4 linked regions of the Drosophila melanogaster genome follow. The protein of the gene in region 2 interacts with the protein of the main gene of each other region in a pairwise test. Each region holds a gene or a part of one and is shown on either strand. Other genes may lie near its edges.

Evidence for each region.
Region 1: the proteins of BomBc2 (region 2) and sn interact in a two-hybrid assay, tested with the Drosophila melanogaster proteins (one large-scale study listed by BioGRID).
Region 3: the proteins of BomBc2 (region 2) and Tango4 interact in a two-hybrid assay, tested with the Drosophila melanogaster proteins (one large-scale study listed by BioGRID).
Region 4: the proteins of BomBc2 (region 2) and CG14715 interact in a two-hybrid assay, tested with the Drosophila melanogaster proteins (one large-scale study listed by BioGRID).

What each region holds. Positions count from the first base shown.
Region 1 is NC_004354.4:7,959,638-7,968,831, reverse strand, and holds the start of sn (singed), read right to left. Parts: upstream 4,690-9,194; 5' UTR 4,660-4,689; intron 4,615-4,659; coding exon of another isoform or gene 3,883-4,614; intron 1,393-3,882; coding exon of another isoform or gene 1,291-1,392; exon of another isoform or gene 596-1,290; intron 1-595. Other genes in the region: sws (swiss cheese), read left to right, coding at 1,291-1,392, 3,883-4,614, 4,690-5,624, 5,691-6,262, 6,608-7,026, 7,118-7,393, 7,469-7,655, 8,720-8,836. UniProt on the Drosophila melanogaster protein: Acts as an actin bundling protein. May have a role in the asymmetric organization and/or movement of cytoplasmic components. It has a role in somatic cells during the formation of adult bristles and hairs, and in the female germline during oogenesis.
Region 2 is NT_033778.4:18,382,853-18,389,993, forward strand, and holds BomBc2 (bomanin bicipital 2), read right to left. Parts: upstream 2,738-7,141; 5' UTR 2,720-2,737; coding exon 2,662-2,719; intron 2,607-2,661; coding exon 2,200-2,606; 3' UTR 1,987-2,199; downstream 1-1,986. Other genes in the region: BomBc1 (bomanin bicipital 1), read right to left, coding at 1-229, 294-351; BomS1 (bomanin short 1), read left to right, coding at 1,171-1,228, 1,298-1,377; BomS4 (bomanin short 4), read left to right, coding at 1,785-1,842, 1,907-1,986; BomS2 (bomanin short 2), read left to right, coding at 3,821-3,878, 3,941-4,020; BomS3 (bomanin short 3), read left to right, coding at 5,333-5,384, 5,456-5,523; BomT2 (bomanin tailed 2), read left to right, coding at 6,248-6,311, 6,378-6,544; BomS5 (bomanin short 5), read left to right, coding at 7,137-7,141.
Region 3 is NC_004354.4:12,015,392-12,023,462, forward strand, and holds Tango4 (transport and golgi organization 4), read left to right. Parts: upstream 1-5,676; 5' UTR 5,677-5,768; coding exon 5,769-5,887; intron 5,888-5,946; coding exon 5,947-7,276; 3' UTR 7,277-7,355; downstream 7,356-8,071. Other genes in the region: regucalcin, read left to right, coding at 128-175, 612-1,330, 1,388-1,580; Chrac-16 (chromatin accessibility complex 16kD protein), read right to left, coding at 2,060-2,482; Lsm12a (LSM12 homolog a), read left to right, coding at 3,790-3,934, 4,237-4,367, 4,434-4,550, 4,616-4,747, 5,144-5,272.
Region 4 is NT_033777.3:11,672,286-11,679,732, reverse strand, and holds CG14715 (uncharacterized protein), read right to left. Parts: upstream 5,513-7,447; 5' UTR 5,452-5,512; coding exon 5,305-5,451; intron 5,242-5,304; coding exon 4,972-5,241; 3' UTR 4,810-4,971; downstream 1-4,809. Other genes in the region: Taf12 (TBP-associated factor 12), read left to right, coding at 520-789, 861-1,181; CG18476 (uncharacterized protein), read left to right, coding at 1,717-1,848, 1,916-2,328, 2,384-3,290, 3,349-3,930, 4,002-4,778; CG42327 (uncharacterized protein), read right to left, coding at 6,271-6,505, 6,609-7,156.

The sequences.
Region 1 (9,194 bases), on a different chromosome or scaffold from region 2:
TTTAAGCTCTAGCAGCGCGCGCTCTGCTAAGTTTGTCGCCCCACAGCCATGTTCTTAGCTGTTGTCAACGCAGTGTCGCACTTAACATAGGGTTGTCAAGCAAGAAATAATGATAATGAAATTTAAAAAAAAAGTCAAATAAACAAGAATCTTACATTTATAAGCATATCAGCATATCACTTTTGTAAAAATTAAAATAATAATAATTTATAAGAATAAGAATATATATTATATTATTATTATTAAATATTATTATAATATTTATAAATAATAAGAATAATTTATTTATATATATTTGACTACATAACGTGCCTAACACAAATTTTAAAATTGGCTAAACGTTTTTTCTGATATGGACGCCCTAAGTATTATTTTCCAAATCAAATAATTCGGCTTGCATACACCTAAATTTTTCGAAAGGTTAACATTATTTTGAAATAACCGTTCTAAAGTCGACTTTGTATGGTCACTCTAGCGGGCTGCTCTACACAGCTGTGAAACAATCGATTTCCGGGCATATCGATGTTTTTCAATCCACCATCAAAGCGAATCGATACCAATAACAATAATTCTAGAGTGCATTTCAGTTTATTAGTTTGTAGTTACATAGCAAAATGCGCGTTTATTTCGGCTCAGTAAATTAAGAACATTTTCGTTACACGTTGCCACGCCCCCCCATCCAACGGCAAACCACCCCCCGCCTCCGCCTTCAAGACAGAGAGAGAGATAGAATAAAACAGAGAGAGAGCAACAACAACAATATATAACCAAAACGAAAGATTTCCGCAAGAAACCACAAAAAAAAACAACAATTGCTTTGGTTCTGATGATTCTCGTAACAGCAAAAACAACAAGATTTATAATCTAAATCAAAAGAAACTGTGCTCTCCGCTGTGCGTGGCTGTGAGTGCGTTTGTGCGGTACGGTGCGTGCATTATAACAATTATTGCACAAAAGGCATGACAAACGTGGGGCGGGGGTGTCTGTAAATGTGAGTGCGATAGAGCGCGACATATTCAAACAAGCTAGGGACGGAGTAGGTGAGCGAGGGAGAGAGAGAACGCGACGGTGGCAACAACAAAGGGCTGTGATTTTACTTTGCCCCCTCCACCCTGTACCCCGTCCCATCCATACACTTGCGTATTTACCAAATAAACGGAACATACATAAGCCAAAATAGGCAGAACAACAACAACATTAAGAGTCAACTAAACAGCAAATCGAATAGTTTCGTGGGAGAAAGGACAGCGTAGCAGAGTCATTGGAAAACTGGCCGCGTAAGGGAGCGCAATGGATGTCCTGGAAATGCTGCGCGCCAGCGCCAGCGGCAGCTACAACACAATATTCTCGGACGCGTGGTGCCAATATGTCTCCAAGCAGATCACAGCAACGGTAAGTGCACTTCACCCTTTCTTTGTCTTTTTATTTGCTTTGACTTTGGCTTGCTGTTTGTTTGCAATATGAGTGAGTCAGTTGGAAGACAATATGTGCGAGAGCGAGAGGACGCGAGGATTAGAAGGGCAGCTGGAAAGCTTAAAAAAAAATGCGATGCAGGATTACAGCTGTTCGGGCTTGTGTCCGTGCTTAACGCGCGGGAGAGAGAACGTGAGCGAAAAGAGAGCATGTGGATCTTACTTGAGCAGGATAACAGCTGTTTTAGGTTCATGTCCAGGCTACATATAATATAAGATTAATAAGTATTTACGTACTCACGTCACAATTCTTTTATATAATTCAAGAATTTTATTATGAATATAGCTTTTTTTTGTGACAACATCCATAAAGATTAGGTCCCCTGATAAAAATCACAGAATGAGCGATAAAGCAGACCTAAGTAGTTAAAGTAAAGTAAACAGACATTATTCAAGAAAACCCACTTGAGTATTGAGAGCAAACACCTGTTAGAAAATTCCACTGTATTTTGTATGCGATTTTTTAATGTGTAATCCCATTATCTTTATGGAAATTTTTCTAAAAAAAAATTTTTACAAAATGTTAGCTTGACGAATAAATGTCGGCCAGACATCATAGGTTAAGTACTTAGATTTATAGGTAGAAGAATCGAAATAGTCGCTGTTCCTGACTAGTTTACCATAACTTAGTTCTAGTAAACCCTATCAGCGGATTGAAGTTTAGACCCCAGCTAAAGTTTAGAACGATACAGGCTAAGGCAAGTGTGGATTTCAGGACTCTAATCTCTCTTAGAACCCAGCCAAATGATAAGAAAAGAGAAAAACCGGAAGAGAAAAGGGGAAACTTCCGTGTTTTCATTTGTCGCCACAAATCGAAATTGTTTTGTGGCCTTACATAAAACAAAACGAATGAAAAACAAAAACCACTGACTACAGTAGCCACATGATAACACCACACGACCATAGTATTGATAATGACACCCAGGCGACCCCGAAGCAAGCAAAAAAAAAAAAAGAAAAACTAAACCACCCGAGCTGATAACTATGATAACCGATTGCTAATCAGAAGCACGTGCAATCGTGGGCGGGGGGTGCGTACGAAATCAGTTTTCAATAATTCAATTAACCCCTTGGGGCCAAATCAATTTAGCCGCCTTGTGACTGCGCGAATTTTATCATTATCGTGTTGTTATGCGAGTGTGTGTATGTGTGTGCTGTCCGATTAGATCAAAGCAAATCCAATTGGATAAGTGCGTGTGTGGCGCAGCTTCGGCTTCCAATTAGACCGACTGAGTCAATTGGTATTTATGGCATTTTTTCTTGTACATTTTGCAAACCTGTTGTAAAAATAAACTGTAAACAAACAATAATTGCTGGGGGTAATAAAAGACAAACAGTAAGGTGCACAGTGAGAAAGAAAATGTGCAACTTATAGATTAAAAAAAAATGTTTATTTCTATCGAAAGAAATCGAAACTACGCCACTATAATTAACGTTTAATGAAGTGCGAGAAAACGCTACATTTTTCGCGCTGTGTAGTATCAAATGCGGAAACTGCAGACAATAACAAATGGGTAGCAGCAACAACAAATTGCCCGAGAAACTACTGCCACAACAAAAACAGCAAATGCAACAACAACAACCGCATCGAACAAGAACAACTCACTCAGAACCGCTAGCAACAAACAATAAAACAAACATACATACATACATACATACATATGTATGTGCAGCGACGTTGCGTCGCCGTTTCAATGTCAAAGTGCCGAGTGCAACAACAAGATTTAGGGAAAATAACAACAAAACACAGCTGATGCACTTGATTACACGGGCGTGACACTTGCTTTTGGGAAATTCCAAGTGTCTTCGTGCTAAATAATTCATCCTAAATAACTGGGCGACGTGGAAAATACGAAATGAAAATCATATTGGAGACGACATCAAAAACCCTTATATCCTTTCGTTTCAATGTCATAAGCTGAAGAAGAATGGGAAACTAATTAACCAATTAATTAATAATTAAGAAACGTGATTTAGCAAAGGAGTTGGCACATTAGTACAAGAATTCACATTTTTTTGTTTTGCATTTCAGCAAAAGTGAAAAACCATATAGAATCAAAAGCATATTATATCATAGTTAGATTACCCTTTCATTTTACTTCAAAAACACTTTCAAACACTTCAAACACTTTTAGTTCAATTTTAGATCAAGAATAACAAAAAAAAAAAAAAAAAACATTTTCTTATATATATATATAGATTTTCTTTATATTAGCCTTTAATAGCTCTATTAAGAATGTTAAGTTTGGAACCAGCTCGATATGACATCGATTTCAACTTCCGAGGAAATCAGACAGTTTTCACGTGGTTGCAGCAAAGAGTTCTACCAAACTCCACAGCCATTATAATGAAGGCCTTTGAACTGAGGAATCAACTAATTGCGCGCTATCTTATACAAATTCCTTTGCAGGTGTACATGTATTTCGCCCTGGTAATGATGAGCCTGCTCTTCATAGCCTGGTTCTTATACTTCAAACGAATGGCACGTTTGCGTTTGCGCGACGAGATTGCCCGTTCCATTAGCACCGTAACCAATTCATCCGGCGATATGCGTGGCCTGCGTTTCCGGAAGCGTGACAAGATGCTATTCTACGGCCGTCGAATGCTGCGCAAAATGAAGAACGTGAGCGGTCAAATGTACAGCAGCGGTAAGGGCTACAAGCGTCGTGCTGTCATGCGTTTCGCGAGAAGGATACTCCAGCTGAGGCGGGATAATATGCCGCTAGAGATGCGCACCGTGGAGCCGCCAGCCGAGTATCTGGAGGAGACAATCGAGGGCAGCGATAGAGTTCCGCCCGATGCACTCTATATGCTCCAGAGCATTCGCATTTTTGGACATTTCGAGAAGCCGGTCTTTTTGCGGCTCTGCAAGCACACCCAATTGCTGGAACTGATGGCCGGCGACTATTTGTTTAAGATAACCGATCCGGACGATAGCGTCTATATCGTTCAATCGGGCATGATCAATGTGTACATCTCCAATGCCGATGGCAGCACACTATCATTGAAGACGGTCAGGAAGGGCGAGTCGGTGACATCGCTGCTCAGCTTTATTGATGTCCTGTCGGGGAATCCCAGCTACTATAAGACGGTCACCGCCAAAGCCATTGAGAAATCGGTGGTCATTCGTCTGCCCATGCAGGTAGTTTATCTAACTAAACTAAATGTTCATTGAACACTCACTTACTTCTTATTTTTTTCCTCCTTGCTTTGGCAGGCATTCGAAGAGGTGTTCCAGGACAATCCGGACGTAATGATTCGCGTCATCCAGGTGATTATGATCCGGCTACAACGCGTACTGTTCACCGCTTTGCGCAACTACCTCGGTCTAAATGCCGAACTGGTGCAGAATCACATGCGCTACAAGAGCGTATCCACAATGAGTGGACCGATTAACTCGCAGACCTCGCAATCCTCACGCCAGGCGCCCAATGGGCCGCCCATGGTGATCAGCCAGATGAATCTGATGCAGTCCGCTGTTTCGGGAACGGGATCATCGGGTGTCTCGGTGACCGTAACTCGACCACCATCCTCGCCATCGCGACACTCGCGCGAGGAGCACACGCTATCCGATCCGAATCCAAATCCGGATGGTAGTTTTCACGGCACTACCAATCTGTTCACCGAGGTGCATGGCGATGCGCCCAATGCAGATCTATTCCATCAGCAGCAGCAGCAGCATTCGGTGGGCAACCTATCCACGCGTCGCAGTTCCATAACTCTGATGGCACCCGATGGTTCGCACTCGTGTCTACAGACACCCGGTGTGACAACCTCGATAGACATGCGCCTGGTGCAATCCTCAGCGGTGGACAGCCTACGCAAGGAATTGGGTCTGTCCGAGGAGGATTCCCACATCATTGAGCCTTTTGTAGAGTTAAGGGAACTGGAGCCGAATGTCACCCTGATTACGGAGGGCAATGCGGACGATGTTTGCGTTTGGTTTGTGATGACGGGCACATTGGCTGTTTACCAGAGCAATCAGGATGCCACGCGGGCCAAGCAGGATAAGAGCGACATGCTCATTCACTTTGTGCATCCCGGCGAAATCGTTGGTGGACTGGCCATGCTAACGGGAGAGGCCAGTGCGTATACCATTCGATCGAGAAGCATCACCAGAATAGCCTTCATCCGACGAGCAGCTATTTACCAGTAAGTTTGGGCGTTTACATAATGAAGTAAAATGATTGCTTTATGATTGCTTTATTTCCTCGACAGGATCATGCGACAACGACCACGCATTGTTTTGGATCTGGGCAACGGAGTAGTACGCCGTCTATCGCCTCTGGTGAGGCAGTGTGACTATGCCTTGGACTGGATCTTTCTGGAATCGGGCAGAGCTGTCTATCGGCAGGACGAGAGCAGCGACAGCACATATATTGTGCTTAGCGGGCGAATGCGTTCGGTTATCACGCATCCTGGTGGCAAAAAGGAGATCGTCGGCGAATACGGCAAGGGGGATCTTGTGGGCATCGTTGAAATGATCACGGAAACGTCGCGCACCACGACGGTGATGGCTGTGCGCGACTCGGAGCTGGCCAAGCTGCCCGAGGGCCTGTTCAATGCCATCAAGCTGCGCTACCCCATCGTGGTGACCAAGCTGATTAGCTTCCTTAGCCACCGCTTCCTCGGCTCGATGCAGACGCGCTCGGGCAGCGGGGCGCCGGGCGCGCCCGTCGAGGCCAATCCCGTCACGCACAAGTACTCCACGGTGGCCCTGGTGCCCATCACCGACGAGGTGCCGATGACGCCCTTCACCTACGAGCTCTACCACTCGCTCTGTGCCATAGGTTCGTATAAAGCTAGTGAGCGCTCCAATCTGTGGGACAATAGTACTATCTATACATTATTATTTGTCATTGATTAAGAAGAATGAAAGGGATATATATGTCTCTGTAGCTATACAAGGTTCTATGATAGTTAAATGTTCACTTTAAATATAAAAACTATGAAAAGGTAATAAGAGGACAAAGTCCCAGGCATAGCGAGATTTCAGCATATAGAATCTTTTACACTTCTTTTCCGCTAAGATTTATTCAGAACACGATGGATAAGTCCGGTAACGTTTCACATTGCTGCACTGAATCTCCGATATAACCGCCAATTGTAACGTTTCTCTTCTGTTTCTCGCTCAGGACCCGTTCTCCGTTTGACCTCCGATGTGGTGCGCAAGCAGCTGGGCTCCAACATCTTTGAGGCAGCCAACGAGTATCGTCTAACCTCGTGGCTGGCGCAGCAGGAGGACCGAAACATCATCACCCTCTATCAGTGTGACAGTTCGCTGAGCGCGTGGACACAGCGCTGCATGCGACAGGCTGACGTTATCCTGATCGTGGGCCTCGGCGATCGATCACACCTGGTCGGAAAGTTCGAACGCGAGATCGACCGGCTGGCGATGCGAACGCAAAAGGAGCTCGTCCTGCTATATCCGGAGGCCAGCAATGCCAAGCCGGCCAACACGCTTAGTTGGCTAAATGCCCGACCCTGGGTAACAAAGCACCACCATGTGCTCTGCGTCAAGCGGATCTTCACGCGCAAAAGTCAATATCGCATTGTAAGTAAGAAATGAGGAAGTGCTCACAAGTTGGCCAATAGCCTTGGCTGCAATGTCTATGCTAATCATCGATCTATTTGTTACCTTTCAGAATGATCTCTATAGTCGCGTCCTGCTGTCCGAGCCAAACATGCATTCCGACTTCTCGCGTTTGGCGCGCTGGCTTACGGGCAACTCGATTGGCCTGGTGCTGGGCGGCGGAGGAGCGCGTGGAGCTGCCCACATTGGTATGCTGAAGGCCATCCAGGAGGCGGGCATACCTGTTGACATGGTGGGCGGCGTCAGCATCGGTGCCTTGATGGGAGCTCTCTGGTGCTCGGAGCGTAATATCACCACGGTAACGCAGAAGGCGCGCGAGTGGTCAAAGGTTAGTACTTTACTTTCATACACATTCGTCGTATGTACATATATATGTTTAATGTATATATGTAAATTCTTTTAGAAAATGACGAAATGGTTCCTACAACTACTTGACCTCACCTACCCGATCACATCGATGTTCTCCGGACGAGAGTTCAACAAGACGATCCACGACACTTTCGGGGACGTGAGCATCGAGGACCTGTGGATACCCTACTTCACCCTCACCACCGACATAACCGCCAGTTGCCATCGCATTCACACCAATGGTAAGTTAGTAGTCAAAAAGCTCCCGATTTGATCTTTCTTTCTGTCTGTCTCCCTCGCTTTGTATATGGCTGTCTCTGTCATTTTCTGTCGCTTAGTCGCTATTCGTTTTTATTTTATTTGGGCTATCGGCTAATGGGAATGCAATGTACTTAACTAGTATGACCTTTAAAGCTAAATCTTATGTACATACTAAAAACTGATATTCGGCTCTGAATACTCTGAATTTTTATTTAGGCGAGTAAATTAAGTTACATTTTTGAAAGAAATTGAAATGTGTAATTTGAAAAGTTTGAAACTGCTGTTAATACATTGTACTCTTGATTGTATATCCCCGTTTTGGTTTGCTTTATGCTATAAGTTTTTCTTTGGGTATTTTCCTTTTTTATGCTTTTTGTAGTTTATTATCCCCCCTTCAATGTGTTATTGTACCGTTTTGTTGTCCCTGATCCTTTTGATCCTTTGGTAGCCTTAGAACTGAGTGTGCCCAAAAATTAAATCGCAGACAATGAGACGCCCACACAGGCACGCACACACTTGCGCACACACACACACACACACACACATAGGCACAGCCTCATTCCATGGCCCGCAATTTTGTAGAGGCATTTTCACTTTTCTTAATGTTATTTTCTGCTGTGGAATCGACTAGTTATCGGCGTTATGCTGCCAATCGAATGTGCCGTTTTGTTTGAACTTGAAACATAACAAACCAAATTAAAATCTCATTGTTGTCGCTGTTGTTGTTGTTGTTGTTTGGAGAGCTTGTGCCATAAATCGAAATTGGCTATTGTGCTCTTTGCTAGAGGCTAAACTCGTTGCTCCTCTTTTAAGCCACCCCGCATCGCTGCGCCCATTAAAACCCAATCCATTGGTGCTACCCATCCCAAAAATTCTCCATTCCATATACCCCTTTCTCTCCTCCATTAAAAAAAAGATAGCTCAAAGCAACTTTCTCTCAATCTTTCTTATTTTTCTCTTCTCCTCCCCCAAAACACAAACACACACAAAACACCCACCGACTTATCATTGCTGGCATGTGTCTGCCGTTGATTTTAAATACCAGGATCTCTGTGGCGTTACGTACGCTCCTCCATGTCGCTCAGTGGCTACATGCCGCCGTTATGCGATCCTAAAGATGGGCACCTCTTGCTGGATGGCGGCTATGTGAATAATCTGCCAGGTAATTAGCACTTAGCAACTAGCAAATAGAATTAACAAAAAAGAAAATGCAATACAAATACAAAAAAAGAAAACGAAATATTTAACCCAGTGCGTTAATCCAACAAAAAATTATCACATTCAACTTCCAATCTAGAGCTGAGTTTTTCGGCACACAGAGCGCGCGCGCAGAGTGTTGGAAATTCCACTTGTTCGATCATGCTTGCCTGCGTTCTACGTTCCTCACGTTCCATTCCGTTTGCTTCGCTCCGTTCCGTTTTTGGTCCCTCTTTCCCGGCAAATCCATGAGATGATGTTATATTTGTTGTTCTTGTTCTACAAGATGTTTTAAATGTTTGAGAGTTTGAAAGTTTTTCGCG
Region 2 (7,141 bases):
AGACGACCACTGTAACCATCCGGATACTGGGCGCCACCGCCTCCTCCGCCGCCAGCGCCAGTTCGCCGAATGGGACCATCGAGAGCTCCTAGATATGCGCCAGGGGAATTGATATACACCGTTCCCTGGCCCGGCCTACCCGTCCTGTAGGATTGGCCACCGACTACGACGTTTTCCGCCACCGGCGGACTGCAATCCTGGCATACTCCGCCGATAATCACATTTCCGGCTGCGGAATAATAAAATAATAAGCGAAATTGTGACATTGAAAGGCGCGCCCATCTGATTCTTACCCGTAGCCTGGGAAGCCAGGACAACGAAAATTGCAAAGGACAGAATCAGGCACTTCATTCTCAATCTGCGTGCAAGACGAATCTATTCGAGACACATGGAATCTGTGAGCTTTTAAGCATTCCCATTCGCTTTGTTATGAAAACCAGATTGCAGTGGAGGCACAACCAAGGGTGGATAGGTGCGGGATTCGCCCCCAGAAACCAGTTCAATTTACAGATAACTCTTGACAGGGGTTTTCCACAAGCTTCTTACTTTGCTTATTGCTAGCTAGAAATCGAATGAAAGCTTATTTGTAAAATATAGAATTTTTAGATTGTTTTGATTTTTACATTCTAGCTCATGTTTATCATGTTTGTGATAAAATATACAGATTTTTATGCCATCAATAATTTAATGTCTTCGGTTATCATTAAATTTGCTTTTCTTGACAATTATATATAAATATAAGAATACCCATTGTCTCATTTCATCTGCATAATTTGTTCGACAACTTTTACAACTTTTACTTAATTATATTTATATATTTATATAAAACTTAAAACAAGCTATTTCTTAAAAAATGCTTCTTACCAATGATTCTACCGATTTACCTGAAATTAATAATTAATAATTAAAATAATAATTTATATAAAATTCTTATAAAAAAAAAGTCTGAAATATGCGTACTTTTACCTTCTTTGAAGACTTCATCTTAAGTCTACCGATTAAATGCTTGTGTTTTCCCAAATACACGGCTTATCACCAATTCGCGTGGCTCTCTAATCCGACGCTCGACTATATAAGATCGGCTCCAACTAGCCGAGATCATCAGTTCAATCCAATCAATTGCCCAGTGCACTCAGTATCCAAAACCGGAGAAATCCATCCAGAATCAATATGAAATTCTTCTCAGTCGTCACCGTTTTTGTGCTCGGTCTGCTGGCTGTGGCCAATGGTGAGTAAAACTAATTGAAATTGCCTATTTGATGATTTAACTAATTTTATTATTATTATTATTTTCCAGCTGTTCCACTGTCGCCCGATCCAGGAAATGTGATCATCAATGGCGATTGCAGGGTGTGCAATGTCCACGGTGGCAAGTAGGAAGTTTCAACCCAAGGATTCGAAAAAGGACATAGTCTACAAACTAGAACACAAAAGCTGTTACCATTTTTTACTGGAATAATACATAGAATTAAAAATGCAAATCAAAGAAATACATACAAATAGAGGATTCTATTTCCTTTCTAACTAAACAAAAGATGTTTTTTATTTTTAGTATTTTCGAATTAATCAAAACAAAAAGTGTAAATCTATATTTCCCACGAAAAAAATATTTTGTCAGCAGCTATCAATCAATCGCTCTCATCTCATATGGCACTTGATTCACTCCTAGATCCGACTATCTGCTATATAAGATCGGTTTCCCTTAATCGAGAGCATCAGTTGTAGTTGATCGTTTGTCCGGTGTGTTCAGCTTATAAAACCGGATCTATTAATTGAAAATCAATATGCGATTCTTTGCAATCGTCACTGTCTTTGTGCTTGGTCTTCTGGCTTTGGCCAATGGTGTGTAGAACCTACAAAGATTAATTAGTTGATTACTTAAGTAAATAATCATCTTATTCAACAGCTATTCCGTTGTCACCCGATCCAGGAAATGTTATCATCAATGGCGACTGTGTGAATTGCAATGTTCGTGGTGGCAAATAGAAATTTTTAATCAAAACTTATATTTAGCATCATAATAAAAATGTAATAAAATGAAAGCTATATTGTAAATTGTATTTAAATCGCAATCATTTATAGAGACTATAAGAAAAAATTCGAATATTGGTTTACAGATGATTCCTCCACCACATAAGTTTAAACAATCTTCGTTTTAAAAAAAAGATAATTTCTTAGTGTTTCAATAATTTATTGACTTTATCCGCGAATATTGCAACCGACGCAATCACTATTGCGCACCAGTGTTCCGCCGGGATAGCCACTGGAATCGATGGTGGTTATGCCAGATCCTGCCCATCCTCCGCCTCCACCCCTTCCGCCAGATCCGCCCAAATCGATGTACTGACCACCGCGTGACTGACGCTTCGAACGCCTGCCAATGTATTGAGTTCCTCCAGCCGATTGATGCAGTGCCCAGTCACCGGTCAGGTCATCATCATCATCGTCATCCCATGATGGGCGACCGCGGGCTGGAGATGATCTCGAGCTTGGCCGGGCTGTCGTCCTACCTCCACTTCCTTTTCCACTTGTTGGCTTGTGCGTGGTGGTAGTCGTTTGATCATGGGAGCAGTTTACGCACTTGCCGTTGATGGTCACCTTGCCACCTAGGTAGAAGAACGGTTAATATTCAAGTTAAAACCTTTTGGCCTTCAAACCGACCGTGGACAAAGGCCAACGTGGCCAAGATCAAAAGCGCCAATAACGTCAGGCTCTTCATTATGATTCCCTCTAAGCCGATTGATCGGCGTCGCCTTCTTTTTATAGCCGTGCCGATTAGCTGAGATTTATAATCTGTATAATCTATATATATAATGTATACAAATTTAAAACCGATCTGGCTGGAATTGAGTACACCTTTGTTTTAAAACAAAGCTGAACTATTGACTGTTGCCTGTGTAGGAGATTAAAGGAAATGAGTGCTTTTCAAAATATAATAAATTATCATCTTTTTTTTAAAATCAATACAATTTACAAAGCGGCTGATGCAATTTTATTTCAGCTATTTATTATAGATTAACCATATTCTAACATGATTTAGTTAATTATTCCCTGAGTTCTAACTTTTTTTTAAATATTATATTGACTGCGTATAAAATTTCATTTAATGGTTACAAGAAGAATATAACGCTTTCTTTGTAGTAATTGTTAAAAAGATTACTACAGAATATTATTATTTAAAAACATACTCAATAGTAAGTTTAATGAACTCGTTTTTGAATGCAAGTGTATACGTGTTAATTTAATTTGTAGCACGTGCAGACTTTGTATTCAAAATGTTATAAGCCGGTTTCAATTTCACTGAGCACAACACATTTCTATATTGAAATATATGCAAAACTTTGCAGGTGCATGTGCTTCAAATCGAGGTAAAAAACAACAACAAACTTTGTTTGTAAACAAAACAAAAAACAAATTATTCAGTTCTTATAAAGAAAGACAAATGATTGAAAGCTATATTGAACTGCAACTATTTTGAATACTTCTAAGAACTCCAATGGTTTTCTCTCGAACATTAAAGCAATCTTAGCTTCTACCTGTTGGTTCACATAACACGCCCATAAACACGGGACTGGAATTTCCAGATTTAAATACGCAAAACAAATGCTATTGAACGCTCAACTTTCTGTGTTTTCCCAAGCGCTTTCGATTCGATGGGGGTTATCAGTGGCCTCCGTCCAACCAATGCACATTTGCTGCTCCAAGATTCCAGGCTGAGCTATATAAGATCCAATCGAACTAGCCAAGAGCATCAGTTGAATTCAATCGATTGCTTGTGCATTTAGCAAATCAAAGCCACAACAACCAAACCAGAATCAATATGAAGTTCTTCTCAGTCGTCACCGTCTTTGTGTTCGGTCTGCTGGCTCTGGCCAACGGTTAGTAATACTATATTTTATAGCTATTTGATTACTTTATAAATTATTTATTTCTTCCGCAGCTGTTCCCCTGTCGCCCGATCCAGGAAATGTGGTAATCAACGGGGACTGCAAATACTGCAATGTGCACGGTGGAAAGTAGGAAAGTAGGAAAGTAGGAAAGTACTCGCCTTAATTTCGAAGATGGGCCAAAACTTACCTCAAATCCAAAGCACCATATTTATACTCTCACTCTTGTACTAAAATGAAAACTAGTAGTAAAAAATACATCGCCAATTACAAATAAAATGGTGAAAAAACAAAACTATTTTCGTATTTTTAATACCTTGCAGCTAATATAAACAAGTAGCTAAACAAGAAATGTTCACTAAAGCATTTGATTAACACAATTTCAATGCAAATTAAAGCCAAATATATACAAATATGTATATATACATATTAAATATGATCTTTAAATACTTGCTATTGAAAAAACTTTCTAAAGGCTCCAAAAGGCACGCCTCTTATGATGGACATTACTCATACGCACTGTTGCACGCATATTAACCTTTTCTTAATTTATTTGTATATACTATACTCTAAATTCCTATAGCCTTAAATGACGAAAAATAATGTTATAATTTTATTTTTGATGAAAACTATATAATTATTTCAGAATATAGATAAGAAAACTTGTTATTTAATAAAAATAAATGAAACTGTATTTAAAATTCGAAAAAATTACCATTAGGTGTCATTCTAATTTTAAATAATTTTGGTATTTAGTAATTGAAAGAAGTAAGAATTTAATTATAGAAATAATTGTTTTTCAAAATACTTAAATAAAGTTGAGCTTTATGCCTGAATTTCATTTTAAATTATTTACATAGCCATATTGACTTTCTTACAAAAAAAAACTATGACTCCCTGCCAATCCAAAACCATAATCTTTCCAAGTACCTTGGCTAACCTTTTTTGCATAAAACTTGCTAATAAACTGTGTGCTAATATGACAGTTTATTGATTCGGCGGAATTGAACGCATTAAAACGGGTTCGCAATACTGGGAAAAACGAATCGCATGGGGCGCCGCCAAGTCAAATGGAATCAGGTTTGCAATCTGGCCACCTTGCACGTGAATAGAATCGCGTTCTGGACCAGCTTGGATTTCCCTCTTCCAATCGCGCAGCTCGGGGCTATCAGTCTGCACTTGTTTACGCTCAATTTCATTGAGAACGTCGCACCGCTGCACTCGGGAATTTCTCGATGGAGGTGTTGGCTTTGGCTTGAGCTTGGGAGAATCCCAATCTCGGCCAGACTTTTCCCGGTGTCGCTGCCAGTTGGTTGATAAGACAGATCGGTACACTTGGCTGCTCTATGACTATATAAAGCGTGTTGTTCTCAACACTTAGCATCAGTTGTCAACGGCTAATACGCGGGAGTCAAGCTCAGAATTCAACCACAAAAACCAACAACATGAAATTCCTATCACTCGCCTTCGTTTTGGGTCTGCTGGCTCTGGCCAACGGTGAGTAATGCCAACTATTTACAAACTAAATAAGTTATTTAATTATGATTTTAATTATATTTCCAACACAGCCACTCCCCTGAATCCTGGCAATGTCATCATCAATGGCGATTGCCGCGTCTGCAATGTGAGGGCCTAAGGGCAGCGGAGAATGAAGGATGCCAGTTGAAGTTCACACAGCCACACATATTTTTAAGTCGAAAATGTAATAGAAATTCCTAGAATCAAGTGCCCATATTAAATATATTCCAAACAAAACAACATATTATTTGTAATGGGGAAATATTATTGATTTCTATAGATAACAACTGAAAGGCAGTTGAGGTTCAGGCAAACCACTTAAATGTATTCCAATTGCAAAATGTATTACAAAGTTCTAGGAAAACAAACTATGAAACAATCACTTGTCATTAAAAGACGCTTAAAGTCAGCTTAATATTTGTTATTTGTTAGTTTAGAGATCTGGAATGAGAAACAAATTATTGAAAATGATCTTAGGCGATGGAGAATACCGTATTTAATTCAAATAAATGTTTTAAAGACTAATACAAATTTTATATTATCATATTATGATTTGATTAATTACATTATTATCCAAATAGATCAGCCTTGCTACTGTATGGTTTAGCAATAAAATCGATACAGCTTACCGATTTTTTGTTTAATAAATAACAATAATTAAACAACTAATTAATAGGCACTCCTTTCCAGACATTTCTTTAAAATAACTATGTAAAATCCCGCAAAATAATTATAAACAATTATATATATAATATAGCAAATACTATATGTACTATGGCATATAAAAAGCAGAGCACTCGCACTTTGGCAGTCAGATTTATTCGAAATCCCCAAGGAAAAACATGAAAGCTCTTCAAGTCGCCGGAACTTTGATGCTGCTTTTCTGCCTGCTGGCAGCTGTTAATGGTAATTATTTAATGAAATAATAAAATATATATATGATATTTTTAGCTAATCATTTCCTTATTGCAGCTACGCCGGGACAAGTGTATATCAATGGGAAATGCATTGACTGCAATAAGCCTGATAATGATCCGGGAATTATAATTCCTCCAGACCATAAATCAGCTGGATCCATGTCTTACACACTCACATCTGGAGCCATCTTCTTTGGAATTATATATCATATATTCAGTTAAATTACTATGTAATCAATAAGTTAATAAAATAATATCTTTTATTTCTCAAAAAAAAACCTTAAGCTTGTGACAAATTGCGAACTTAAATACAACCCTTATCACGTATAGATTTAGTCACATATTAAAACTGCTATTTAACAAATCCCAACTTTATGGGTATTTAAATTGCATTTAGATTATAGCAATTGCATATTAGATTAAAATCTGTAAATTTAATTTAATTCCCAGCTTTGTTTAAACCGCTAGGAAGCTTTAAATAATTTAGCTTTAATTTTTATATTTATTCATATTGATTTTGGAATTAGATTTCCTATTTGAGACAAATCTACAATAATCTATTATTATTTATATTCGATTGATTGATCGCTATCGCTTTATTTTGTTTTGCCATTGTTCTGAATGTACATCGCCTTATCAACATTTTTTTTTGTAGGGCATTTCCAGACTGGGCACAACTTTTGTGTGATTACAACAGCTGAGATACGTACTATCCGGGAAAAACCTGATATTTAAATTTCATCATAAAGGTGCCTATAAAAGAAAACCAATGAAGTGAATTTTTATCAGTTTCATTTCAACCGTTGCCAACAATATGAA
Region 3 (8,071 bases), on a different chromosome or scaffold from region 2:
CGCTTGCGATGATGACGATGCCGCCGATTCTCAGCCAGTAATGTCAAGCCCCTGGTCTGGAGGTAATAAAAGCAACTCCGAGCGATGGCTTTGGGCTCAGTTTGGATTCGGAGCCAACGAGCGCAAGATGATGTTACTGATTCCCGTGATTGCAGTGTGCCTTTTCGGCCTAACGGTACTGCGTCTATAAGTAGGACCAACTAAAGAAATTGAAGAAAAAAAGTGTTACGAAAGTCAAGTGTTTGAAACTCTACAAAAAATCGCATATTTAAATGAATATTTAAATTAAATTAAATGATTAATTTAATTGCTCATTGCTCGCATATAAATTATCCTGATAATTCTATTTTATCGCAATGTTGACAGTTTGAATTATTAGTTTTTCGCTTTTGTGCGTAATTTTCTGATTTAATCCTACATCTAAATTCGAATTCTCTGTACTTCTTAATTGTTTAATTCAATTTAAAATCTAATTAAAATGGCAACCATGATAATGATAACCATGAAGTGCTATAATGCATTCCAAATGCCACTTTATATCCACTATAAATCCATATAAAATCAATTAGATGCACTAATCGCAAATCGGTTGTTCCCAATTTCGCCAACAGATGTCGTACAAGGTGGAACCATTGCCCGATTCCTACGCCGGCCTGGGCGAGGGTCCCCATTGGGATGTGGCCAGGCAGAGCCTGTACTACGTGGATTTGGAGGCAGGCAGCCTGCTCCGCTACGACTATGCGCAGAACAAGGTCTACAAGACAAAGATCGAGGGCGAAACCTTGGCCGGATTCGTGCTGCCGGTGGAGGGACGTCCGCAGGAATTCGCCGTCGGCTGCGGTCGACGCGTGGTGATCGTCAACTGGGATGGCGTCTCGCCCAGCGCCAAGGTGGTGCGCACACTGTTCGAGGTGCAGCCACTGATGGAGAAGAATCGTTTGAACGACGCCAAGGTTGATCCCCGTGGTCGCTTCTTTGGCGGCACCATGCGCTACATTGGCGATGAGTTCGAGTTCCGTCACGGCGAGCTGTACCGCTGGGAGGCCGGTGGCCAGGTGTCGGTGATCAAGGGCGATGTGGGCATCTCCAATGGACTGGCATGGGACGAGAAGGCCAAGAAGTTCTACTACATCGATACCACCGACTACGAGGTGAAGTCGTATGACTATGATTTCGAGACCGGCGTGGCTAGCAATCCCAAGGTTATATTCAATCTGCGCAAGAATAGTCCCAAGGATCATCTGCTGCCCGATGGCCTGACCATCGATACCGAGGGCAACCTGTATGTGGCCACCTTCAATGGCGCCACCATCTACAAGGTTAATCCCAAGTGAGTAGTTCACTCTAACATTCGTGATCGAGTGTTAAATGTCGTACTTCATTGCAGCACTGGCAAGATTCTGCTTGAGATCAAGTTCCCAACCAAACAGATTACCTCCGCCGCCTTCGGTGGCCCCAACTTGGACATCCTGTACGTGACCACTGCCGCCAAGTTCGATCAGCCCGCTCCAGCTGGCACCACCTACAAGGTGACCGGACTGAACGCCACCGGCTATCCCGGCGTCAACCTGAAGGTCTAGGAGCTGCAATCTCTATCTATCCTTAGCCGCAGTAAAATGTACCAATCGAATCCAAGTGCAATTATATGTTATGCTCTTTAACGTTTTAAATCGCGTCTATCAATGTTTTGCATGCTAGTTAGGTTATCCTTTTTTGCAGTTCTAGTTCAAGGTCAGCTTAAGGATCACATTCTCTCCTGGGAATATCCAGGATCATCATGTAAACTCACAAAGAGGTTGACTATGCTCTACTTTACTCTGATTTCAAACAACAATCTTATCAGCCGCAGACACACGGTAATCATCCGCGGATCTTATGGTCATTTGGAGGACGCAGTGCTCTTATGCTTCTTTATTAATCAGTGGTTCTATAAACAATTTTATACTTATCGTCTAGTCTAAAATTAAAGATAGCAAGGTGGCGTAAAAAATCAGTCGATGTTTTGGTGAATGGAGATCATCCACTCAATTTCGGTGTAGATAAACATCTGCATGACCGTCTATTCATCAGACTCCGATTCCGATTCGGACTCTTCTTCATCGTCATCATCGTCGTCGTCATCGTCGTCGTCGCTGCCGGCGGAGCGATTTAGCCGCAGCATCTCCTGGAACTGGTGTACACGGATCTTTTGCGGCACGATCTGCAGCAGAAACTCCAGATTCTTGTTCTTATTGACCACCTGGGAGAGATGCTCGTACTTGAGCGCTTCGCCCGGTCGCTGGCCGAATTCCTCCGTGTATGCCGCGCCCGCCAAATGGCGAACGAATAGCTCCGTGCACTTGGTCATCAGGAAGAGCACCTCGTTGGTGATCAAGCCCGTGTCCATGGAGCTCTTCATGATCGTTCGCACGCGGCTGAGGGGCAGAAAGGTTTCCGCGGTCGGTGGACGCTCCACGGGTGGTTGGCTCCTTGGTTCGCCCATTTGTTTACTTAATTCCCAAGCAAACTATGGCTTGGGAATTTTTTTGGTTTTAGAGCTGGGCTCACAAGTGGAGCTGTGAAACTATCGATGTTACAATCGAGGCATGAAATTCGTACCTTTCTGAGACACTATCGATTCTTTTTTTTTATTTGCTATCGATGGTTATGGTTTATGAAGACTTAAAATAAGTAACCGCAGGGCTTCCCTTAAAACGAACAATGCTGGCATACTTCTATTTTTGCAAGGAATTGGATGTGCACAATAATATATGTGTTACTTTCTCAGAATTAAGTTATAGCGCTAAATATATAAAAATTGAGAAACCCATTCGGATTTGCCTATACTTTCAGCTCTAGCTGGAGCGGGAATTTAACCAAATAACGTTGCGCCGATATGCTATCGGTAGCCACAACAAGTATTTAATAAAAGTTTTCCAAATATTTCAATTTATTAGTGGAAAAACCGCTCTAAGCAAATACCTTTAACTTAATCAAGAGATTAGGGGTAAAACGATTAGGATCTGCACGATTTATAAGGAAACATTCAATTGCAACAACATTTAGACAAGTCAATATTATCTACTTTTGTCTTTTCAGTATGCAATCAACTTTGGATTTTCACACTTATAGCTTAAAAATCTGTCTTCATTTTCGAACTCACATATAAATAAATATCAATAAATTATTATTGCACTTGATTTGTTTGCAGCAACGTTGCCAGACTTCCGTAATCGATGACTATCGAACCTATCGCTGCGCGGCATGTGCAACACTGCGTTTTCTGCTGCCCCCTTTTGGCTGTTGTTTCGTGTGTTGACCAATAAATTTTTCGCGTACTTTTCCAACTTTTCAATTACCGAACCGCAATTGCCGCCAAAATAGATAGCCGATAGCTAGTCGAGCGAGTAACCAGCGAGTTTTTGGCCAATTCACGCGACGATCAGGGGCAGTGGAAGCAGGAGCAGGATCTCGACCAGATCGCCAGGAAGCGACATTTCCATTAGAGCGGTTCAAGTGAAAGCGAGTGAGCTGCACGGCACGAGAGAACGAGACAGACAGACGGCGAGAGTGAGAGCGAGCGAGAGAGCTAGTTAAATCCTTTCGAGAATTCCAGGAATTCAAGCATCCAAAACAGCTGCTGCTGCCGCAAAATCATCAACATCATCACCATCGCTGTTTGTGAAACGTTGTTCAAGCAACGGCGTGCCAACAAACCAGTATCGACATTTAGATCTAGATTCGAATCCCCTATCCACATAGCTTGTGGGTGCACTTTTCCAGTTGGCCAATCTCAACCAGCAATTAAAAATGGCCGCTGCCGCTGCGAGCGCAGTGAATGCAGTGAACGACTGCTTCAGCATCGGATCCACAGTCGTCTGTACGACCTGTTTCAACGAGGAGGTGGAGGGCGAGGTGCTGGCCTTCGATCACAACACAAAGATGCTTATCCTGAGTATCCTTTTGCAACGAAATCCCCGAAATGCATACCCACACACACACACAACTTGCCCGCCGGGTGAAAGCGAGCACTTTCTCCGGCTGTCCACAGGGATCTCTTGAGCTGTCTGGACAAAAAGTCACACTGTCCTTTAGATTCGTATATAATTCTAATTCACACTCATCTTAACTGATAGCATTCACATATCACCTATCTCTTATCAAACCCATTGTTTACTGCTTGACAATTTGGTTCTCCGTACATCGTATATCTTTGCCCCCCGTTCCTGCTCTTCTCTTCCCTTTCCAACCGCATAGAATGCCGATCCAAGTCCACGGAGGAGCTGAGTGATATCTACGCGATGAACCTCTCGCTCTGCAGCAACGTGCAGGTGATCAAGGAGTGCAACGGCAACTTTGATGATCCGCAAAAGCTTAATCTGGAACAGGTAAGCATGCCAGCTCTGACCACTTACATAAATATATATATATATATATATATATTGCTTATACAGGTCAAAATGCGTCTGAGGAAAACAGTTGAGCGAAGACAGGACTACTTGAAGTCTAAGAATGCTGATGTCAGTCCAGAGGCGCAGGAACTCTATAGAGCGATAGCCAAACAATACGGGGTAATGACCTCTTGCACGATGCCCTATCATCATTAACCATTGCTATTTCTTTTACTATTTTGTAGTACAATGAAGTCTCCTGGCAAGGACTTAACATACAGATCCTAAATGAAGTCACCATCTCGCCGCCGTACCGAGTGGACAACGTGGTGTCCAGCTCGAACAACGAAACTTCATGCAACTACATCAAGCGCATCGTAAGCAATTGCCCAACCGCAGCACCTTCAAGCAAACTGTCATAAATCCGAAATGAAGTTCGTTAAATCTTTAATCAGACTAGCAAACCATTGTAACTTAAACCCAACGCAATGGCTCAAACAACGATTTAGTTGAATTAATGTTCAGAACATTCTAGATTCGCTAATGTTTATAGGTTATTCATATGTCAAGATAGTCCTAAATATTTCAAGTACTTCCCAATGTGGTTTAGGGTTTGATTAGAAACAGTATTAAGCATTTTATCATTCTGATATAAACATACAAATGCGCAAAGTTGCGGTAAAAAAAAATAATGCTTTATGACAGAATTGTGGCTGGTGTGGTCGGTGTTTTTAAGTTCATAGGTTAATCTTTACTCCATCTTTTATCTGCAGATCAAACAGTTCTTCAACACGAGGCCATCGCCCGTCCCGGAAAGCGGAGCTGCGGCCAGCACCTCGTCACCATCGGTGTCTCCCACGTCCTCATCTCTTGCATCTGGATCGCCGGTTCCCGCAAACTAATAATAAGCAGAAAAAAAACACAAACAAAACAAAACAAAAAAACAGAAATGTGCTTCAAAAAAGAACAACGTATTGGTTTTTTAATCTCTCGGGTGGGCGCATAAAGTTAACACTTTGATGGGTATTCGAAAAACGATTCTGAAAAAACTATCAGTTTTTGTGGCTTTTATGGTACTTTGAATTCAGGACCCACAATTTCTCATCTCGACTTAAGGTTGTGAAAAGTTAAATCATTTTTTTCTAATTATTAGATAATTCAATTACACAATTTCAATTAGATATTAGATATTTGCATTTAAATACATTTAAAATTTTAATAAAACTTCTTTTAAAAATGGATGCCCATGTAGCATTAACATTTGGCTATAAACAAGCTAGCAGACATCACTGTCCGATAACCGATAGCCCGATTGTTATGTATGGCTTGTGGTGGTCAGCTGCAAGAGCCGCGCCGCGTTTTTAACAAATTTAGCGAATAAGCAATAAATAACAGACAATGGCCATGGAAGACGTGCAGAAGCACAGCGTGCACACGCTGATATTCCGCTCCCTGAAGCGCACCCACGATCTGTTCGTCTCCAACCAGGGAAATCTGCCCGAAATCGACGAACGTTTGTGAGTATACCTGTAGTTTGCAACTTACGCATTGTTAATTTGTGTTTTTCGTTAAACAGAGAGAAGTTGCGACGTTCCATCAAGGCGAAGGATGGCTATGGCCTTGTGCTGGACAAGGTGGCGAAGATCGGCGAGGCCAGGAAGGCATCAGGAGCCCAAACGCCGGGCGACAAGACGCTGGCCATCACCGATGGCAGTGCAACGGATGCGGCCAGCGGTGCCGGCAGTCTGGTTAAGTACAATGCGGGCGCCAGGCCAGCGGAGAAGACAGCGCCACTGGTTACCGGCACACACACATCCCTGGTGCGCGCCTCCCTGGCGAACAGCAATGCAGATATGAGCGCCAATGGCGCCATCGCCAGCCATCTGCAATTGATACCGAAGAAGGCGCCCAGCATACCCAAGCCCAAGTGGCACGCACCCTGGAAACTGTCGCGCGTCATCTCCGGCCATTTGGGCTGGGTGCGATGCATCGCCGTGGAGCCGGGCAACGAGTGGTTCGCCACCGGCGCTGGCGATCGTGTGATCAAGATCTGGGACCTGGCCAGCGGCAAACTGAAGCTCTCGCTCACCGGTCATGTGAGCACTGTGCGCGGTGTGGCCGTCAGCACGAAGCATCCGTATCTGTTTAGCTGCGGCGAGGATCGGCAGGTCAAGTGCTGGGATCTGGAGTACAACAAAGTCATACGGCATTATCACGGTCACTTATCGGCTGTTTACTCGCTGGCCCTGCATCCCACCATCGATGTGCTGGCCACCTCCGGTCGCGATTCCACTGCCCGCATCTGGGACATGCGGACCAAGGCGAATGTGCACACACTGACGGGCCATACGAACACGGTGGCCAGTGTGGTGGCGCAGGCCACCAATCCGCAGATCATCACCGGCTCCCACGATTCCACGGTGCGTCTGTGGGATTTGGCCGCCGGCAAGAGCGTCTGCACGCTAACCAATCACAAGAAGTCCGTGCGCAGCATAGTCCTCCATCCATCGCTGTACATGTTCGCCTCCGCCTCGCCGGATAACATCAAGCAGTGGCGCTGTCCGGAGGGCAAGTTTGTGCAGAACATCTCCGGCCACACGTCCATTGTCAATTGCATGGCGGCGAATAGTGAGGGCGTGCTCGTTTCGGGCGGCGACAACGGCACGATGTTCTTTTGGGACTGGCGTACCGGCTACAATTTCCAGCGGTTCCAAGCGCCCGTCCAACCGGGCTCCATGGACAGCGAGGCGGGCATATTCGCCATGTGCTTCGATCAATCGGGCAGCAGGCTAATCACCGCCGAGGCGGACAAGACAATCAAAGTGTACAAGGAGGATGACGAGGCCAGCGAGGAGTCGCATCCGATTAACTGGCGACCGGATCTACTGAAGCGCCGCAAATTCTAGACTCCTAGTTTGTAAGCCTATCCATAATAGAATACGATTTTCCAAACGATTTCATTAAAAACAACTTTAAATGCGCTCGAATCTTTGAGTAAGCTAGTTTCTGGTCAAGAATCCTGCATCCAAATGCGCAGGTAAGTCGATGGAGATGGAAATGAAAGAGTTGTCAGTTGAATTCTTGGTATTTTTATTGGGTTTTTTTTTGTTCCGTTTATTTTGTACACATAAATAAATTGAATTATTTGCTGCATAAATAATAATAGCATATAGCGGTAGTAGATTAATAAAATATGATTTCTTGTTGGCTCTCTTCTCATTTGATTCGGTTTTTCGAAACGGAAACGGATGTGGGCGCGGACGCGGATCTCGATTCCTTCGCTATATAGTTAACAAAGAAAAAGCACTAAACTGTGTATTATTGTAATTTATTAATTAATTTTATGTTGTCTAGTCCTTTGCATACATTTTTATCATTTCATGTTTAAAAATCACAAATAATTGTTTGAAACAAATCTTATATTTTTCATCTCCCATACATACGCCTTTGCCATCTCTTTCGATTTGCTGCTCGAATATATGCATATATATATATATATCCACCGCCATCGTCTTCAAGTTTATCTTGCGTCTCGTTTGGTGACTCTTTTTGTTTTGTTAATCGTATGTTTCGTTTAAAGTTAAACTTGTTACATAGTTGCGTTTATTTGTTTACAGCTCTTCCTCTCTCGTTTACCTATAATCTATATATAATGCTCCTCTTGTTGGTTGCTTTTATTTAGTTTATGTTCTTTCTTTCTA
Region 4 (7,447 bases), on a different chromosome or scaffold from region 2:
TAAACGTAAATATACCAAATTGCTTTATAGCACCAGCGGGCATTTCAGAGTCGCCTGCAACTGGCCATACTGTTGATTTGGCTGTAGTTGCTCCGCTTATTTTTATTTTGTTTAGTAATTTAGGAAAGTAATAGTTTAAGATCAAAGTGTTAAAACCGCAATAATTGTAAGTGTTGCATGCGCTAAGAGCAACTGCTAAGTAACACTTTAGTTTTAGTAAACACACAAAGCGACGGATTCTTAAGACCGCACGCGTGAAATTGACCACTCTATTCTTTTACTTACATTTCGCTTTGCAACCAAACACCCACGCACACACAATCACCGACTGCAGTTGAGAAAGCAGGAGGACACACAACATAAGCAGCAACAACAACAAGTACACTAACGCTTTTGGCTTTGGTTCTGCACTCTTACCCACTCCCCAAAAATCCGCCCAACTTACTGTACTTTCCCCAAACACTTCCAACCAACCGACCTACCACCCACTTGATTTGACTCTGAAGAAACCCAAAAGCAATGTCGGATCTCTTTACCACTTTCGATAGCAACGGCGTCGCCGAGCACCACCTGCACCACAACCACAACTCCACATCGTCCGCCAGCGGACTGCTCCACGACCCACCCATGGCCTCGCCCTCCCAGCACAGTCCGATGACCAACAACAGCAACTCATCCTCGCAGAACGGCGGACCGGTTTCCGGTTTGGGTACGGGAACGGGCCCCATATCTGGTGGTAGCAAGTCATCCAATCACACATCATCCGCCGCCGGTTCCGAGAACACTCCCGTAAGATGCGTGCCTTATGGAGTGCACACGGAATACGCCAGGGTCTAGTTTAACTCTCTTCCGAATTACAGATGCTTACCAAACCGCGTCTCACAGAGCTCGTCCGAGAGGTGGATACCACCACGCAGCTGGACGAGGATGTTGAGGAGCTTCTGCTTCAGATCATCGACGACTTTGTCGAGGACACCGTCAAGTCGACGAGCGCCTTCGCCAAGCACCGAAAGTCTAACAAGATCGAGGTGCGCGACGTGCAGCTGCACTTTGAGCGGAAGTACAACATGTGGATACCCGGCTTCGGTACGGACGAACTGCGTCCCTACAAGCGGGCAGCTGTCACGGAGGCGCACAAACAGCGCCTTGCCCTCATACGGAAAACGATCAAGAAATACTAGAGGATTGGATCTAATCGGGTCGAGGCTCTGTTTCGGTTTGCCGGATTTCGCGTATGCTAAACGTGCACACGCCACAAACTAATTTAAGCTCCAATTTAGATTAAATAACAAATTATCGTCGCTCTATTGTAGATTTATTGTAATAAAAGTGCACTATTGATTTCACATTCAACAATTGGTCACCGTCAGCAGTAAATTTTAAGTCGTGATTTTTTAATCACAGTTTCTAATGGTTCTGTAATATTTGTATTAATTGTTTGTCTGGTGGATATTGATTTATATTTTTCATAATTTAACAATTTCTTCAGTTTATTTTAAAAATATTTGTGTAATATTTCCCTTTGAAAATAATTAGCGGACTCTGCTGAACGCACCCAATTAATTGCTGTATTTTTTAACAACGTGGTATTTTTTTAATGACCGAACGGTATTTTCCATCTCTCGCATCAAGGTCATACCATCAATAATGTTGATTTTCTGATTGTTGATTTAAAATTAAAAAAGCTTTCAATTGGCCAAAACAAATTTGTTCGCCATGAAGCTGCCGGTGATTTGTCGCACGTGCGACTCCACGGACACCGACAACCTTCTGAAGCTGGCCACGCCCTCGAAAAAGTATCCGGACAAGTTGCTTTCGGAGATTTTATGCGAGCTAACCGAAATCAATGTAAACAAAGTTCTAAGAAGCGAAATCTACGAAAAATGCAAACTAAAATGAAACATTTACCTTTCAGCTGGATGCAACTGGTAGTCAGAAATTTCCGCAATGCTTGTGCAGTGGATGCACCAAAAAATTAATGGGTGCCTATTGCTATGTGAAGCAGGCGATGGCCGCCAACGAACTTCTAATGAAGCATCTAAAGAACGGTGCTGCTCCAACGTCAACCGACTGTCTGCAGGAGGCGCCGATGGAGCTGTGTGCTGAGCAGCATGTGGAAGTCAAGCTGGAGACTGAGGATGAGGACTGTGGCGAAAATGATGTTACTATCACTTGTTCCGAACTACCGGAACCGGACGAAACGGACATGGAGAGCAAAAAGTCGGTGGACCCACTGACCATGATTGAAACGGTGAAGCTGGAAATGGAACCCAGAAGCGTGGAGAAGCCAGCGTATGACGATCCCACATCGGACTTTGAAGACGAAGAGTGGGTGACAATTGGAATTTCCCAACTACTTTATTTTAACTAACTAATCTTGCAGCTCCCTGGATAATTTGCCACTGTATAATCGCATTCAAAAGTGGAAAACAGGAAGAAAGTCTGTATATAAATGTCACGACTGCCCTAGGAGTTTTAAACGATTCGACTTCTTGAAACGCCATGAAATGCGCGTCCATAAGCCAGAAACTCGATTATATGACTGCTCCCTTTGCATTCGCAAGTTCAGCCGCAGCGAAGCCCTCGAAGCACACCTAAAAATTCACCGGAATTCAAAACGATCGGCCAACATTAGCGAGCACAAGAAGGCCAAGGCTGTGGATTTGAATCTCTGCAAACCGCATGGCTACAAGCTGATTGAGTGCATGATCTGTCAGAGCCAATACAACAAGATTGCTGATCTGCGCCGGCATTTGGAGGAGCACCCCGATATTGTTAGCCTGTGCGGTCGGCCAAATATGGAGCCCCATGAGCTGGCAGAGCTGTTTTATCCCGATTCAAAGGACCTCAGTGAGGAGCAGTTAATCAACTTGATTCGCAAGGATCTAGCGGCGGGTATCTATCAGCGTTTCTATTCGATAACGAACCAAAGTGGCTACGAAATGGATCTGGACAGCTCGGAGACGGACAGCGACCTGGACGGAGATCACGATGACCAGCACAAGAGGCGAAAGAAGTCGCGCAAAGCCACCTACAGCTGCGAGCTGTGCCAGCAAAAGTTCCCGCGAAAATATCAGCTTTATGACCATCAGCGACAAAGTCACAGTTGGTCAGACGCTCCTCACGTCTGCGGGCGATGTGATGGACGTTTTGTAAGTCTGCAGCTGCTGCGCCACCACAACGAGTCGCAGTGTAGGAATGCACAAAAGCGATTTCTCTGCCACAAATGCCCGCTACGCTTTCGCTGGAAACACAACCTGAAAACACACTTCCGCGAACACAGGATTACAGTAAGTTAATCTAAGAATTGTTCAGGCTACAGACCCATTGCATCTATGAATTTTACAGAATCAAACGTTTGAATGTTCCGAGTGCAAACGGGTCTTTGATAAAAAGAAATCCCTCACCGTTCACCTGCTTAGCGTACATGCGGAGGAATCCAAGCTGATTCCCTGCCAGTGGTGCAGTCGCAAATTCTATCGGCACGACTACTTGGTAAAACACTTGAAGCGACACGGTTTGAAAGAGCATGACATTCCCTTGGCAGAAACATTGATTGCTGCCACCTCGCGGCCAAACGGAGCGAAGCGCATTACTTGCCGCATGTGCAATCTGCATTTCGAGCGTATTGTTGATCTGCGAGCCCATATCCAGTTGGAGCTTAAGCTATCCCTGTCGCTACACCAGAGCTACGACTCCCCGCATAATTATTCAATAACAAACGAATCTGGCTTTGAGCTGCAGCTGGAGGATTCGGAAACCGAAGACGAGATGCAGCCCGGTGTGGGCAGTCGCCCCGTATATATTTGCGAGCTGTGCAGCGTGCAGTGCAAGCGGAAGTTCGAAATGATCCAGCATCAGCGGACGATGCATCGCTTTGACAAAATGCCACACGAATGCGACGACTGCATCTTTAAATGTGTCTCCAAGGTGAGGTTTTAAATGTGTATTCTACATTTAACCAGTATAGATACATTATGTCAATTTCATTATTGCTTCAGAGCATTATGGACCACCACCGGCAAGGTCAGTGTAGTAGTACAGAAAAGAAGCATGCATGTGGCAAGTGTTCCTACAAGTTTATGTGGCCAGAGAACCTAGAGCAGCACATTCTCCTGCAACACAGCAAGTCTTCCGTCAGCAATCCGACTGGCGACAGACACACGCAAGGGACCGGTGACCTGGAAAAGGATGCCACTGAGGACGGAATACCGCTGCTACAGTGTCCACACTGCGATCGCACGTACCAGATGAAGTCGCGCCTGAACAATCATATTCGCGATGTGCACATTAACGGCGACCGCAAGCGCAAGGAGGCAATTAAGCGCTTCCTCTGCTCCCTGTGCGGAATGGAGACGAGATCAGCCGCCGCTCTTGTGACCCATATGCGACGCCACACTGGCGAGAAGCCCTTCAAGTGCGATCTGTGCGAAATGGCCTTTCCCCGCCACTCAGAGCTGGCCTCGCACCGCCGGATGCACACCGGCGAGAAGCCATTCCACTGCACCGTCTGTGGCAAGGACTTTGCCCGCTCCGATAAGCTCAAGCGCCATATGCTTACGCACAGCGGCCTAAAGCCGCACAAATGCACCTACTGCGAGAAGAGTTACCGTCAGGCCAAGGACCTGAAGCTTCATCTCCAGCAGCACACCGGCGAATGTCCTTTCGTGTGCGGCACCTGTGGCGAGCGCTTCATCCAGAGCAGCACGCTGGAGAAGCATCGGTTGATGCGGCGTCACTTCGACGAGGTGGAAGCGTGGCTGAGACGCCAAAAGTAAGGGGCTCTTGCAATAAATACAATTTGGTCTAGTATAAAAGGAATGACATTATTATTTATTGGTCGTGGCGTGGCATCACTTCAGAAACAAGACAAATTACTACTTTAAATATTTGAGCATTAAATGTTTATGACTTTAGTTGAAAGTAAACTTTGGGTGTAGCATGGAATGCCTATTTGTGGCCCTATTCGCTTTACAGCTCTTCAGATCCAGAGCGCGGTTCGATTTTTACCAACTCCGTATCGAAGACGAGCACCGCATTGGGGGGAATCTTTCCGCCACCCGCTCCACTGGCTCCGTATCCCAGCTCAGGCGGAATCGTCAGCTTTCGCTGCTCACCCTCACACATACCAAGGATTCCCTGATCCCAGCCCTTGATCACCTGCCGAGCTCCCAGGGTAAAGGAGAAGGGAGTGCCGCGGGAGTAGCTGCTATCGAACTCTGTTCCATCCTGCAGTGCTCCCTAGAATGATTCCAAATTCGGGGTTAGGTCGGCTAGAGATCTTCCTTATCTGATTTCCCTTACTCTGTAGTGCACGTGGACGAGATCGCCGCCCTTGGCCTTCCGGGTGCAGTTCTCCACCCGCTTCTTAATGCCAATCTTCACTTTCGGATCGCTGGCAGCGGAGGCGGCCACAAAAGCGCAGATTAACAAAATATAAGTTAACTTCATCTTATCGAAAGCCAGTATCAAAAAACACTCGCGGTTTAGTGTGACCAGAGATCTACAATAATTTAACTTGTTCCCACTGCACACATAAAACCAAATAAATATAACAACTCAAATAGTTTTCAACGAAATTAAGAGATTAAAACTTGTTTTTTTTTTTTAACTTTGAAAAAATTAGTAACCAAAAGAAATTTTATGTAAATAAGAGAAAGATCAGAAGTGCAGTAGTATCGGTTCATAGTTAAAACCCAATCAAAAAAGGTCTCACTTAAATGCGAAGCCCGCGAAATTTAAAACTTCAAAAACCACTGCTGGACATATTTTTTCTTGTAATTTACAATAATATGAGTATAGTACAGCTCGGACTTAAAAATAACTTACGTACATTAAAGCTCATTTAAAATAGATACACACATTGTTTGATTACATATTTGACTTTCTTAAAACAAGGAGAGCTCCAAATAATGATCATTTGCTCCGGATTATATGGCCCCGAAGCGCGTGACAGTGCAAAAACAAAAATTGACATTATAAATATGCAACAGATTATCAGGAGATATACGAATGTACGATTATATCACAATAATAAAGGAATACATACAATTTAAATGATATTTAAAGCCCGACATACAACGAAGCCTACGCTTAATTAGGTGCCAACATTCAAGCATAATACTAATTTACACTAATATTTCGTATAAAACATAGCTACTATTATTACAAAGGGTCCCATTGATCAGTGCTGTAAGGGTGAAAGGTGAACTCAATCGCAAATTCGGTTTCCACTCGATGGGCTCTGCCGCTAACACTGCCATCTGGCTTTCAGTTGTCATTGGACAGATTTGTGATCTTGGCCGCATACATGCTGGCCACCTTGTAGATAAATTCATACTGCTCCTTGGTCTGTACGGCGCTGGCACGTCCGCGTCGCACGTAGTAAACCAGTTGGGGGATGTCCACGGACCGCTTCGGTGTTTCCAGACTGCGGATGGCCATGTCCGACGCTATAATGGTACCGGTTCGTCCCGTGCCTGGAGAACAGTGAACGGTTAGCGGTCTGCAGGGGGAGAGATGAAGAAGTTAAGACACAGAACATTAAAAAGCCATGCAACACACAACAACTGCTTTGATATGAATGGATGGAGATTATGTCAACCTACCCCTGCTGACTTCGTGTTCCGCTTCGACTTGAGATGTTTCCATTAATCTCGTGGCTGGACGTGCTGCCCGCCTCGGCTTTGCTGCCGTCCGCATCCATTGACGTCTCCAGGGTCGCGGACTTCTCGCGCAGCTCGTTGGCCTGCTCAAGGGAGTAGGACTTCAGCGAGGATCGCGCTTCCAGCAGCATGGCGATGATGGGCGCCTCCTCGGCCGGTACACCCGCCTCAGGCCATTTGTACCAGTAGTGGGTGAGCTCACGGCTCTCCTCGCCATCCACTCGCTTCAGAACCAATGTGGAAATGGCATAGCGATCCTTGACTTCGCGATGCTTGAGGGTCACCTGGTAATCGCCATAGCTGCTATGATTGTCCAGAGTCGCCGACGGTGGCAGGTACTCGGCGCACCTCTCAATTCCGTTCTCACTGAGATCCGTCGCCTGGATGATCACCCGCGACTGCTGTTCCCAGATCATGCGCCAGAAATCGCTGGTCGTGCTCTCCAGCGGCGCCTGGCAGGCTATGTAGTAGTTGGGTGCATCCCTCGGGCCCTGAAGTGATTAAAAAAGGTATCAAAATGATGTCTTTCCATTGGATAGCATACTAGTATTATTTGAATTTGAAGCTATCTAGCGTTTTTCGGCAAAAAGACGACGCGAGGTTGAGTAATGACATAACCATCAATTAAAACCGATTGCGGCTTAACTCTACCCCTGCCCACACAATGACTGGCGATCAGCTACGCGCGCCTCTCAGATAAACGATACCATAAAATCGCACAACAGACCTCTGCTGCTTGAATCTCGACATGCTTAGGTTATCGCCAGGTGCAATGCCGATGA